Linked DNA regions of Lonchura striata. The protein of the gene in region 1 interacts with the protein of each later gene in a biochemical or structural test. Links are inferred from orthologs where the notes say so. Each region holds a gene or a part of one and is shown on either strand. Other genes may lie near its edges.

What was found. The genes of interacting proteins can lie anywhere in the genome.
Region 2: the proteins of RP2 (region 1) and ARL3 form a complex in vitro, tested with the Homo sapiens proteins (2 studies listed by BioGRID). The link is inferred for Lonchura striata from reciprocal best matches to the Homo sapiens genes RP2 and ARL3.

What each region holds. Positions count from the first base shown.
Region 1 is NC_134604.1:84,238,186-84,245,093, reverse strand, and holds the start of RP2 (protein XRP2), read left to right. Parts: upstream 1-3,896; 5' UTR 3,897-3,944; coding exon 3,945-4,076; intron 4,077-6,908. UniProt on the Homo sapiens protein: Acts as a GTPase-activating protein (GAP) involved in trafficking between the Golgi and the ciliary membrane.
Region 2 is NC_134609.1:20,183,881-20,191,101, reverse strand, and holds the start of ARL3 (ADP-ribosylation factor-like protein 3), read left to right. Parts: upstream 1-4,209; 5' UTR 4,210-4,304; coding exon 4,305-4,307; intron 4,308-7,221. Other genes in the region: SFXN2 (sideroflexin-2), read right to left, coding at 1-52, 124-184, 836-921, 999-1,074, 1,226-1,324, 2,206-2,376, 2,678-2,838. UniProt on the Homo sapiens protein: Small GTP-binding protein which cycles between an inactive GDP-bound and an active GTP-bound form, and the rate of cycling is regulated by guanine nucleotide exchange factors (GEF) and GTPase-activating proteins (GAP).

The DNA.
Region 1 (6,908 bases):
ATGGGGAGGACATTAGTCCAAAATCCCCATTAGCAATGCAAAACAGATTCTAGTACATCTTGTCACAAAATTAGCCATATTATTTGTTCTACCCAGTTTCAAGTTGCAGACTAGCTTCTCTTGGGTGTTCAGTCTGGCAAGAATCTCCAGCAGGAGAGAATCTGATAAAGAGACCAAAAAAGGCCAAAATGACCTCATAGTATGTGATGACTCTATGTGAAAATCCTAGTCTGTATATTCATCATCTGCTTCTGAAAAAGAAAAAAAAAAAAAAGAAAAGAAAAAAAGGGGAAAAAGTATATGAGACTGAAAGGCATAGATGTCTGATTGAAATGGTTGTTTTACACATTTGTCTGTTTTCCAACACAGTTTACCAAGTCTGCAAATATTTGTGCTGTCCCACTGCATAGGTGGTTGAGGATTTAAATAAGCTGCTGGAGGCAAGGGATGATTTCTGTGGCAGTTCTGTCTTAAATGTGTATGAAAACACAGCCTCAGAGAGTGAGCCCAGCAGTAAAGTATCCTTCCCTTCCTTTCTGTTGAATACTATGTAAGGAATTGAATACTGTGGAAGGATTCATCTGTAATTCGCAATTTTGTATGATTATAGGTTAATCTAATCTTAACTAGGAATTATTTCCAAACCTTTATATCAATTTTAGATAAGTTTCTAGGATCTCAAACACAGGATTTATAATCTTTCCTGATAGAAAACATGAAAGGAGCTTTTAGAGAGTAATAATATTTAAGCTCTTCTGTTTTCTTTATTTTCATGTCTTGGAAATTATATTTTCAAGGTTTTCTCTATAACCAACAGGATTAAAAACCTGCTTTAAACAAAACACACTTCGATTTTGTCATAAAGGTATGATTACAAGCGCTTTAAGAGAACACACAGAGGATACAATGAATCTCATGAGGAAGAAGACTGTGAGAGTTTGGCTTTGTGCATTTTGTCAGGCTTCCAACACTACCAAGACAAACAGATCCTAGCCCAAGACAGGAGAAGTGCGGATGTTCACACAGTGAGCTCTTGCTTCCTTAAGATACCTGCTTAAGACCTGGGCAGGTTTCCAGATCCTGATGTTTACTGAGAACTCCCTCTCTGTGCTTTTGGGGCAATACAGAAGAGTGTCAAACAAAAGGAGGAAAGGGAGTCAGAATCTTATCTGTGGGCATGCAAGCACTTTCAAGCATTGTGGGGATAAGAGCCAGTCCATACAGAGACACAGCCCATGCAGGTGCTTTGCCCACCTGCCTGAGAATGGCATCACTGTCCCCCTGGGAAGGACAACAGAGATCTGAAAGCCTCCTTGTGAGGCTGCATGTGCCCAGAAGTCATCAATGGAGCAAGTCTCTTTCACCAAATACCTTAGACTATAACCTTTACAAAGAAAATGTTTTATTTTTCAGTTATCTACATACCACTCTTTGAGACCACAAAACTCTGTATTAGACTGTAATTAGATATATTTCACAACACCCCCATGAGGCAAATCACTGATTACAGCAGTTTTTTGAAATTAAGATGAGTGTAGTCATGGTTGGTAGTGACTATGATACTATTGCAATCTTGTATTACTACACTTCGGTCTATGACTGTATCAAATCTCAGAAGCCAAGAGGGTTGGGTCTGGCTGGCAGATGAGTAGAGAATGAAGAATTGAAAGACGCATTTGCGATTTCTTAAGAAGTTATGTGCTTATAGAAGTCATATTAATTTGCTCAGGCATAAGTACTCTGGGGCTTTGGTGTCAGGAGACACCCTAGAGCTTGAGAGGTTGTGTTATGACAGAGAAATAAAATCTATGGCTTCTCCTGATCAGCTGTAGTCATACAAAAATCCTGTATTTTCATAGGACTGATAATTTTGCAGGACAAGTATGGTATTTTAATTTTTAACAAAAATGCTTTTTATTCCTTCTATTTATTTTTTTAATGGATGCACAGAAAGAGGAGCCTGGTAGCCTAAAGGCTGCAGAACTTTGCTACTCTGTATGAAATACACAGGGGTGTTGGAGGACTCTTAGACTTTCAGAGAGTGAGCAAGAAGAGGTGAGGGTGTATCAGACTCCTGCATTCGCAAACAGTCTCAGACTGTCCTAGCTGGACACACCATGTGTAATGGTTTAAGACAAAACTTGGGAGGAAAGAGCTGGTGCACAGAGGATTAGATGAAGATCAGCAAACCAGTGCTCAAGAAACCCAGGAAATGGCTCATAGAGAAAATCCACTTTTCAACTGAGATGTAAAGCTGTCCTTGGTGGTGTTGAGGGTAGCTATTGACTTGAACTGTAGCTTCAAAAGCTCAGAGCAGGCTTCACTACTGCCCAGGTATATGGTTTTGCAGCACAGATGACGCCAAAAAGGGTGTCAGTCACCCCTCCTCTTTAGCAACCATTTATGAGCAATTGCTTCCACTTCCTCCTTTCTGCTGTTCTCAGGGCCCTGAGCTGGACAAGCCTTTCAACCTGCACAACTGGCACAGCACTGCTCTGCTACATTTCCTGGTTCTCATCTCTTCTATTCCTACAGCAGGAATGCCATCCTCTTCTTAACACAAAATGTCCCAGAAGTTTTGTTAGTGGGTATGAACTATGTGTAGGTGACCAAGTGCTGGCAGCATGGGTGGTCTCTGTGAGGAAAAAGGGCTGTCCCACACCGGACACAGCCACTTCCAGACACCTCCAACAGACCCACCATGGGGAATGGCTGAGCCTCAACAGTAACACCGGTGGCACCCCTGGGAAAACATTTTTAAGGAAGGGCTACACCACTATGTACCAGTGAGAGAGAGAGAGAGGAGAGAGAAGAAAAAAGTGGGGGAATACCATTGTGAACATCAAGGTCAAAAAAAGGAGGGGATGGAGGTGCTGCAGGTGCTGGAGCAAGAATTTCCCTGTAGCCCATGTAAAAGACCACAGTGGGTGCAAATATCCGCAGCGTGGCCCATGAGGGAACCCACAAGAGAGCAAGTGGATACTTTCTGAAGAAACTGAACAAAACATCATAGACAATTTTGAAGAGAAAATCTCGGGGAAAATGTTTTTGACTGGTCAGACAGTCTGATAAAAAGAGTGTGAGTTTTTCTTCTGGGGTAAAAAACAAAGCCAAAACAAAACAAAAAACCAAAACAAAAAACAAAAACAAACAAAAAAAAACCCACCAAAAAAACAACCGCTAAAGAAAACCAAGCCAAACAACAAACTCACAAACGACAACCCAACATAGGAAGCCCGACTATTTGCAAAAGGAGGCACAAAGCAGCAGAACGCTGTGGGTTCTCATGCCGCCACTTGCTGCTTCTGCTGCTCTGAAACACTTGCAAGAAGCCGGGTCTTCTGGGGCAGCGCTGCCAGGGAAGCGAGCACGGCGGTGGCACGCGTCCCGAGGGGACCGCGCCGGTGTATCCATAGGAAAAGGACGTGATGCAGGATTAGCCGGTTTGTATTTACACCCCGTACAGGGCGTTTTGCCTCCGACTTCCACAGCTGAACCCGCACATGGCTCCGGCGGGGCACAGGTTTCACCTCGGTAGAGCGCTGGGTTCACGGCCAGCCGCCGCCTCTTCCGAGCCGCTCCCGCGGGACGGGCGGGAGCGAACCCTCCCCGGGGCGGGGGAGCGATGCGGATCACGACAAACCGCGGGACAAACCGCGGGACAAACCGCGGGACAAACCGACTGCCCCGCTTGCCCCCGGCCTCTCAGCCCCGCGGCGCCGCCTCGCCGCTGCCAGGCACCGCCCCGTCCAGGCGCCTCCGCCGGCCGGAGGCGATGGCTGGAGCGGGACGGGGCGGGGAAGGGGAAGGGAAAGGCGAGGGGAAATGTCGCGGTCGCTACGGGAGACGGGAGCAAACCGGAAGCCGGCGGGGCGGGGCGGTGCGGCGCTGGCGAGCCCTTCCCCGCCGCCAGCCTCTCCCCGCCGGGCGGCGGCGGCAGCGCCATGGGGTGCTTCTTCTCCCGCCGCAGGAAGCCGGCCCAGGGCGGGCGGCAGCCGCAGCCAGCGGGAGCCGGGCAGGACGCGGGCACCGGCGAGCAGAAGGCGCCGCAGTACAGCTGGGACCTGCGAGCCAAGGTACCGCCCCGGCGGCTGCCAAGGGCTGGGGCTGGGGCTATCGCTGTCGCCTCTCTCAGTGGGCAGCATCTCGCTCTCCTGCCCTCCGGGCTCTGCGGCGGGGTGTGTGCACCGGCAGGGAGCACGCCTTCCCCGTCCCGCTGTTACGGCTCGGTCCGTGCAGTTCAGTGCGTTTATCTGAACAATTAAAAAGTGTTTAGCCTAAGGATTTTACCGGGCAGTCTCAAATTGTGTAAGCGGAGAGGGCGGCGCGCTGGGTGCCGCGGGTGCGGGCGGTGCGAGCATCGGTCCCCGGTGCGGGGCTGCTCCGGAGGGGGCTGGGGCTGCCTCCCGGTGGGACGGCGCCCTGTGGGCAGGCAGCTTGGCTGTGACAGTCCCCACGGGTGTCTGCTTGCTTCCTGATACAGCGCGGAGTCCCCTGGGTGCGTGCTTCACTCGAGAAAACCGGGATTAATGGCTGGGGAGCTGCTTGTGCCCGGGCGAGACCCTGCACCGGGCATGGAACGGAGGCATAAAACTCGTGCCGTGTGTCCTGACTGTCTATATTGATTCTTCCTGCTTCGCTGTTTGCGCTGCAGGTTTGGTTGGTTGGGTTTTTTTAAGACTTTGGGGTGGTTTTTGTTTGTTTGTTTGTTTGGGGTTTTTCTTTTGCGTGTGGTTGTGTTTTTTTTTTTTTTTTTTTTTTTGAGGAAGTAGAACCAGTTTATTAGCCCCTAAAAAGACAGAGGAAGTCAAATCCTTTCCCGTGCTGTTTCCAGAGCTCCAGGAGACAGTCACGAAGACTCAAGCGGGAAAGCATTTAAATGCTGGATAAAATGTATTTCATCCTAGCCTCATTTCAAATATCGCTTCTTAAATATGTAATGACATTGTAACCCTACTAGGCCTCTCTTCCTCTCCTCTCTGGCTACCTTCGGGTGGGAGAGGCAAAAACTGGGCAGGCGAAAAACATAATTAATGTGATTTCAACAAATAAAATCCTCAAACCTTTAGGCCATATTTTACAAGTATGTAAAAGAAAATGTGTGAACTTATTTGAATGTTTAGCTTGCTTGTTTTTTAAACTTGGCCAGGTGCTCTAGGGTGGCCCTTAAGTCTTTCAAGTAGATTAAGACAAGCTTAGATGGAGATGAGCTAGAGAGTGTGCGTGTGGCCTGGAGGAATTGGCTCCTTGATGATAAAGATGAGGAATCTGTGTTGGGCTTATTGCTTTGACTGGATAGCAGATATTTAGGGAGCAGACGGAGAAAGATAGGATAACAGCCTGTCACTTGTATGGAGACTACTCTCACAGTGGGAGTGGCTGTAGTGAAGCCATATTTTAGTGAGAGAACAAAACTATATCTAGAAGTAAATTACCAAATCAGCCTTTGGAATACTATTTTTTAATTTTAGAGCAAATTTACTGGCTAAAGCTCAACAGAATTTTTACCCCTTCTACTTATATAAAGCTAACTTTGAAAACTAAAAGAAGGAAAGTCAGGATATATAAAGACTTGATTCAGAGAATAGCCGGCCTTGTTGCTAAGGAAATGTTTGTTGTTAACTTGCTGGAAGTAGGCTCAAGCTAACATATGAGACTGTTACAGCACCAACAATCTATCTTTGTGGAGTAAAAAAACCACGGTCATGTATTGCATGTAAAACTTCCTCGTTTTCTGTAAAAGACTCTTAGAAACCAGAAGAATCAGTGAGTTTGGGCTGTGCTAGTGAACTGTGTAAACCATCAAATTAGCTTCTTAGTGTTGTACTGTACAGCCTAAAAATGGCTGTTTAATGTCCAAGTTAATTTCCCTTGCTCTTTGCATCCTTATTTTTCATTGGGCTTTTTAGATGTAAGAGTAATACATTAAACTAGGAAAGCACCCAGAGTTATCTTATCTTAGGTGAAGGAGTACTGAACACTTGGTGCACTAAACTTGTTGATCCCAGTTTGTATTAGGTGACACCTTGTCAGTGTTAATGTAGTAGCTTTAAATGTTGTCTGTGATACCTTGTCCTGTTGTCTATTGCTTTCTCATTTCTGATGCTTCATATATACTTATTTATTTCACAAGTTTGTGCTTGTACACAAAGTTAAATTGAAGTAAGTAGGAAAAGAGTCAATCAAGACTCCTTTTTGTTCATCAAGTGCATTGAATCATATTCTAAATGCTGAAAACCTCAATTCTGTCAACAGATGTGCTAGGTTTTCTTTTGATGTTTATTTCCACTGTTTGGGTTGGGGATGTGTTTCTGATTTTAGGCTCTACTACTTTGTGATGCAGTTGTGGTTATATAGTTCAGTTTCACAGGCAGGTTTGGTAATTGTCTGTAGTTTTTGTAAACTATGCTCTGTATATTCTTACAGGTATCTTGCTGCTCAGACACTCCAACTGTCTTCCTGTAAACTAATGCCATCCTGACACGGCAGAAAAATGTAGGCACACTTGTGTGCATATTTGTGTGATTAGGGATGTGTAGCAGGGGGAACCTGAGGGGTTCCTCTAACAAAACTACTTCTGCTGCTTCTGAAGGACATCATTGCTAGTTGAGCCTATTTTAATCATGTTTTGATGGCAAAAAATGGTTAGTTTTGATACTGTCTGCTAGTGTAGCCCTAGACAAAGAGTAATATGATGATATTACAGTGACCATGTAACCTGTGTAATAGTCCCAAAAACAGACCATGTGGTAAAAAATTCTAAATAGAAAATATTATAAGATGCTGATAGCTAAAGTGAAATTAAGGAAAGTATATGAACTTGAGGAACCTTTTCAGATTTCTGTGTGACTTTATTAAGTGAGGACAGAAGTTTTAATGTATACAAAATGTAATCAAATTTAGATTAC
Region 2 (7,221 bases), on another chromosome or scaffold:
CCATGGTGATCCTGGAGAGCACAACCTGCGCAATGCCCTTCACTGCTGCCCTCTGCAAGCAAAATCAGCAGGTGAGCCCCGGCAGCGCCGTGCCCCAGCCCAAATCCCCATCCTCAGACTCACCCTGGAGCAGCCGAGCTCATTGTTGTTCTCATCTGTCACTGTGATCCCGTTGATGATCTCCCTGAAGGGGACAGGCAGCCGTGAGTGGGGGACAGGATGGCCGGGAAAGCATAGGGACACAGTAACGGGGTGAGGGGGTGCCAGGGGAGTCCTTTTTACACAGTAGCCCCGGATGCCCCCAGGGCACGGGGCTCCAGCACCCCGGGGCACCACGGTCCCCAGCCCAGCCGATGCTGCCATCTTCAGGGCACAGCTGCGAGCAGGATCTGGCCATGCTAGGGACAGACACAGCTGAGCCAGGGCACAGTCCCTCACGCAGTACCTGAGCTCCTTGTGCTGTGATAACCAAGCAGCAGGCACAGGTCACAACAAAGACCCCAACTGGGGTGTCCCAGCATCAAGATATAATGGACTGGGGTTCTCCCATGACATGCAGGAGATCTTTGGGTTTGAGAGATCTTCCAGCACGGATTCCAGAGCAGCTATCCTCAGCCGAAAATCCCCCTCCTGGGTGGAGGCTGAACCATCCCACCCAGCACCCTGCACCACAGATACAGCACTGCAAATGCACAGACCCCAGTTCATCTCTCTCCAGCTCTCAAGAGGGGAATCCAAGGCAGGGAGGGCAGGCAGCCCAGGAGCTTGGCTGCCACCAGTTTGCCTTTGGAGGGAGCTGGGTCCCTCAAGCCCCCCAGCCACATGTGACACTTACTGTTGCCGCATCATGGGGATATTGACACAATTGGCAGCAGCCACAGCTGCAAAGGGGACCCAGCGGGCCAGCAAGGGTGGGGCTCGCTGTGAGAAACAGGTTGGCATCAGCACGGGAGAGCAGGATGTGCCCAGCTGCCCCACCTGGCCCTAGCCTGGCATACCTTGGTGTAGAGGTTGAGTCCCACTGCAGTGGCCAGGGCTGCACCAGTGGCCGTGACATAAGCCACCCCAATTTGCCTGGACAGCAATTTCAAAGAAGAGAGATAACAGAATCACCAACTCGGACTCAGCCCTGTTCCTTCTGTGCCCAAGACACAGCACAGAGGGTCTTTATAGGGCATCCAGGGGTGCATCAAATGGACACACTCCACCCTGTTGGGCTGCTCACCTCAGAGAGATGGGGGAGGCAGCGTTGCGGTTGGTGTAGTTGACAAAGGCATTGAAAGACTGGTTCACCCACTGCCAGAAAACCACGGCAGGCACTGTCCTGTGGAGGGAAGGGATGGGAGAGCACCTGAGGGCTGTCAGGGACACCTGGCCTGTGCCTGTGGCCAGGCTTGGCAGGGAGACAGCCAGGATGCCTGCAATCCACTCATCATGATGTCTCCAAAGGGAAACTGAGGAACTGTGGCAAAGTGACAAGCTAGTGGCAGAGCTGGGAAATGATCCCAGGAGTTCTGGTTACCCTGGGGACCATAGGAAGAGGAGGGCCCAGTCCTGCAAGGCACTTGGGCAGGGGTGGGAGACAGCTCTCAGCAGGGTGGCAGCCATCCTCTGCTGGGCTGAGATAAGCCTTTGTCAAAGCAAGCAGCAAGGCGCAGACACACAGGGACAGAAGTGGCTCTGGGGAATGAGGGTGCCTGGGTTTCTGTTGGTGTCTCAGGGACACTGACGTGGGGCAGGAAGGGACACAGGGAGCACGCTTTGGAATGCAGGGGAGTAGAGAAGGGAAATGCAGGGAGCTGTCAGCAGGGGCTGGGGATGCTGAAGCAGCCTGGCCTAGGGGCACATTTGTTCCTCAGTTTCAAAGACTGCTATGGGCCACAGACCAAGCGCAGCAGCCAAGCAGGATTTGGTTGCATTAATCATTACAGGGGCTATGGGAAGATGTCAGCTGAGCTCAGGGTGAGGTGAGACCATACCCAGCCATGCCATGGGCCAGAGGAATCTGTGATGCTTCTACCACAGGCTGGGTGCTGAGGACAGATCCCAGAGACATTGGGCTTGACCATGGGACACAGGCAAACACAGCAGCCATGGGCATGCCTTAGGCAGCACCCAGCCCCATAGAGGCAGGCTGGCTCTGCTCTGGCCATCAGGGACCTCGAGAGGGGCTAGGGGCTGTCAGGGCTGTCCCCAGGAGCTCACCGATAGAACTGGAGCATGCAGCCAGTGATGGCCATGCCCCCTGGCACCTGGAAGGACATCCTCCCAATGAGGTTCATCTTCTCACCGCTGTCAGGGTGGAAGGCTGAGTCGTACAGCTTCTTGGCATAGAGCAGCTGCTCCTGGCTGCTTCCTGGTGGCACCAACCCAGCCCTGCAAACCCAAAGCTCATCAGGGGAAGTTGCACAGACCTGCCAGCACCCAGCACTGCTGAGGCACAGAGCTCTGGGCACCACATGAAAGGCAGAGGAAACATCTCCAGAGAAGGATGCATGTCACAGCTTGAAGCTCCTGGGAGAAGCCTGGGAAACGCCCCCAAAACTACCTCCAACAGATGTTACATCACTGCACACCTGCTTGAGAATGACTCCATCCCCCTGCAACACTGCACAGTGGTTGGCATGGCCATGAGCACAGGGACAGCACCTCCCCCATCTGTATCCCTGCCTCTCACCTGCAGCCCTCCACCAGGGCCTTGGCCTGGTCCAGCTCCTCCTCTGGCACCAGCACTGTCCGAGGGTCGGTGATGTTGAGGAAGTGCTTCAGGCGGCCCACAAAGGTGCTCTGGTCCCAGCGTGGGGAGTCAATGTTGAAGCTAAGAGAAACTGTGGCCATCTTGGCGTAGGTCTGGGCAGGGAAAAAGGCCGCTCAGTAGGATCCTTTCTTGCTTGCTCATTGAGTGCACACCTGCCACAGCCACAGGAGCAGCTGGATGAGAGCCATGGCAGGTTTATGTTTAACAGGACAACTGGACTTTCAGCAGCCCTGAGCCAGGAGGCCCCTGCACTCCTGCTGTCAGCAGAACACTGCAGTCAGGCCACTCCTTCACACATCATCCTGCTTGCCTGGGGTCACCCCATTTGTGCTGCACCCCATAGCACCTCGCACCCCCTCCTTGGGGTGATATGGTGCTGTACAGCACTGTAGGGACCAGCTCAACCCTCCACAAGGCTGCCTTGCAGGCACTCCTACAGGGGCACTACTCTGCAGCCCCCGAGTATGCACAGCACCTCACACTGTGCTGTGCCTGCCACAGCACCATCCTGCACATCCCTCTAATGCTGCTCTGCACTGCCATGGCACTGCCCTGCATGCTCCCCGGGGTGCTGCGCCACATGCCCACAGTTGCACAGCACAGAATCACAGAATGAATTAGGCAGGGAAATACTTCTGAGATCATCTGGGCCCAGCCTATGACCAAACATCACCATGTCAACTACAGCATGGCTAACCTAGCCTAACCCTAGCCAAGTGCCATGTTCAGTCTTTCCTTAAACACCTCCAGGGACTGTGACTTCACCATCTCCTTCGGCTGTCCTTTTCAGTATCTAATCACGCTTCTGTAAAGGAATTCTTACTAATGTCCAGCCTGAACCTCTCCTGGCACAGCTTCAGACTGTATCCTCTCTCCTGTCGCTGGTTGCCTGGGAGAAGGGGCCCATTCCCACCTAGCTACAACCTCATTTAAAAGGTAGCTGTAGACAGCGATAAGGTCTCCGTGAGCCTCTTCTCCAGGTTAAACGCTCCCAGCTCCCTCAGCCACTCCTAAGACTTGAGCTCCAGACCCTTCGCCAATTTCCTTGCCCTTCTCTGTAAGGCACAGCAAAGCTCGGCACACCCCAGACTCGGCCCGGTATGGCACAGCCCCGGCACTCCTCCAGCGCGGCTGGGTCACGGCTTATGTCGGCCCGGCACGGCACGGCTCGGCACGGCACGGCCCGGCACGGCTCGGCACGGCACGGCCCGGCCCGGCACGGCACGGCCCGGCACGGCTCGGCACGGCACGGCACGGCTCGGCACGGCACGCCCCCGCCCCAGCCCGGCCCGCCGCGCCCCCACGTGTCCCCACCTGCGCTCCCAGGCCCCGCTCCCGCCTCCCGCCCCCGCGCTCCGCCGCGTGGCCGCCCTCAGCCAATCACAGAGCTCCGAGCGGCCGCGCCCACCTCTCCCGGCAGGGCCGGCCTCGTACGCACGCGCCGTTAGGGGGCGTGGCCCGGCGCTGGCCCCGCCCCCGGCGCGGGCACGTCGGCGCGCGGTGGGTGTGACGCAGTTGCCCATGGTAACCCCGGGCCGCGCCGAGGATGGTGAGCGGGGCGGGGGCCGGCGGGGCCGGGCCGGGCCGGGCTGGGCTGGGCCGGGCCGGGCTGGGCTGGGCTGAGCTGAGGTGAGGGCCGGGGCCAGCGCGGCCGGGGGTGCCTGAGGCCGTGGATGATCCCCCCGCGGAGCGTGGGGTGATGGGGGCTGCAGGGTCTGTCGGGCCCGGCCGGGCTCGTGGCAGGCACGGGCAGGCCTTGGGCCGTGAGAGGGGGTGCCAAGGCGATGGAACCAGGGCGGCCGAGCCAGGCTCTACTTGGTGCTGTCGGGCACTGGGGTAAGAGGTAACGGACAGAAACTGATGCACAGGAAATTCCACCTGAATACAAGAAAGAACTTTGCTGTGCGGGTGACCACACATTGGAACAGATTGCACAGAGAGTTTGTGGAGTCTCCCTCACTGGAGATATCCCAGAACCATCTGGACGCGATCCTGTGCCACGTGTTAAAGGATGACCACGCCTGAGTGGGACGTTGGAGCAGATGACCGACTGTGGTCCCTTGCAGCCTGACCCATCCTGTGACACCCACCCAGGGACCCTGGCTGGCCCGGGGTCCGAGTGCCCACCTGGGGCATCCAGCCAGGCATGGGGGCCTGGGGCTGTGCGGGTGCAGGCACCCGTAGAAAGGGATGAGAACAGTGCAAGTTTGGGGAAGACCCTGGCTGGGGTTGGGGCCCTGGCAACACACAGATGTTATGGGGAACATAAAAAAGGGGGTTGAGTCCGAAAAAAGGCAACAGAACTGGTGAAGGGCCTGGAGCACAAGTCCTGTGAGGAGTGGCTGAAGGAGCTGGGATTGTGTAGTGTGAAGAGGAGGAAACCCAGGGGTGACCTTATCCCTCTTCAGCTACCCAAAGGGAGGTCATAGACAGGTGAGGATTGGCCTCTTCTCCCATGTAGAAGTGACCCAAGTGACAGGACAGGGGAAAATAGCCTCGAGCTGTGCTGGGGAGATTCAGACTGGACATTAGGATGAATTTCTTCACAGAAAGGGTGATTGAACATTGTAAAGCACTGGCCAGGGAGGTGGTTCAATCACCATCCCTGGAAGGGTTTAGGGAGATTGGAAAGGTTGTACATGGCACTTGGTGCCATGCTCTAGTTGACATGTAAGTGTTCAGTCATAGGTTGGACTTGGTGATCTCAGAGGTGTTTTACAATCTAATTGATTTTGTGATTTTGTGAATCAGGTCTAGACAGAGGCCGGGAAGATGCTATGGGGGCTCTTTGTTGGGATGGAATCAGCATGCCTGGAGCTGATTCAGTCAAGGTGTAGAAGGTGTGATGCAGAGGTGGGTGCTTGGGAGGGCTGGGGACCAGGATGGCAGTGTCCTGAAGAGGGAAGGAGCAATGGAAGACCTTGGCAATTATGGAAGGCAGCGCTCAGAGATTGTCTGTGAAAAGTCTGGGAGCAGCTGTGACTCTAAAGGGACACTGGACAGCCCAGCCAAGATGGGAGGAGGCCACCGTGGGACTTGAATCCTGGCTGTAGAAATTGAGGGAGCTAGAGGACAGCTTGCTGAGGTGGAAGGGATGGTTTTTAATACACAGCCTGAGAAAGGGAGTTCAATCATGGCAGAGAGAGACTGGATGAAGGGGTTAGGTGTTCAGAGATGGCCAGGACAAAGTGCTCAGAGGCTGAAAGAAAACTGCCAGTTGGATGGGATGGACCGTCTGGTGAGTCAGTGGGAAAAAAACAGTCAATGTTTGGCTGGCTAGGATAGTTTGCTGGGATGTTGTGTGCTCTGGGTTTTCTGCCATGGGCTGGCAAGATGAGGGACAGTCTAGGTTCAAAAGAAGAAATAAGAATAAACTGTAGGAAAGATTGGAAGTGGAGTTTTGATGTTGATGAAAGAAAGAAAGATCCCAGGGAGAAAAGAAGTGTTGGGTGATAGAAATAAATTGTTTGAGAGGTAGTAGCATGGAATGAAGGAAAAAACTGTGTGTCTTGGGTGGAGGGCAATGCTGGGAGACAGGTGAGGTGGTGAGGGTGTAGTGCAGTCTAAATTGAGGTTGGAGGAAGGTTGGAAGATAGACCAGGGTCATCCAGGTGTTGGAAACAATTTGGGTTTAGATGCCAAAGTAGTTGGGGTGGAACAAGTGGGATGCTGGCAAAGTGCAGCGAGGACTAGAAGGAGGGGTTGGAACTATGGGTGAGGGGTGGTGAGAGAGAGCTGCTGTGGATGTGGAGCCACTCATGAGGATGCTGCATGAAGAGCGAGCACAAGCAGAAGGCAATAGCAATAGGGAAGGATATTTCCCAAGGGCAAAGCTTTATTTTGTCCAGGAGCCCTCTGGACATAAGTTGGATTCATGCAAGTAGCGGGATTCATGCATGGGAGGAGGTGTAAGCAAGAGCACCAAAGGCAGCTTCTCATCTTCACTGGGTTAATTCTGGCTGCATCCCTACCTGCTGGGTCACAGAGAAGAAGATTGAGATAAAGCCTGTGGGATCTGCTCTATTTTAGATGAGTTGGTGATGGGGCATGTCACACCAGGCACCAAAGTCATCACAGGATGGGCATCTGCTATAAAGATGAGGCAGCTGCCTCCAGCAGTGCAGTGTTTTGTGAGACACATTTGGCTTGCAGCTGCCAGATCTACTCTTCTGCCTTATGATGTCCTGATAAGCTGGTGTAGTCTGGGATCTGGCTGCTCTTATCCAGGCACTTTGTGTGCAGAGAGGGTGACTGGGTGTTCACCAGTGTTCGTGTTATTTGATACAACATTTTACTGCCTCTTTTTCTATTTTCCATTTCTTGGAGTTGTTTTTTGAATTATAACCACTCAGACTCTAGGGTGGGTGGCACTTTGGGGTGCCTGGTGGGCTGGCTGGACTGGATAGAGGACTGGAGAGCAATGCACTATCTCTCTAGATTCTCATCTTTCACTAAAACAGAAC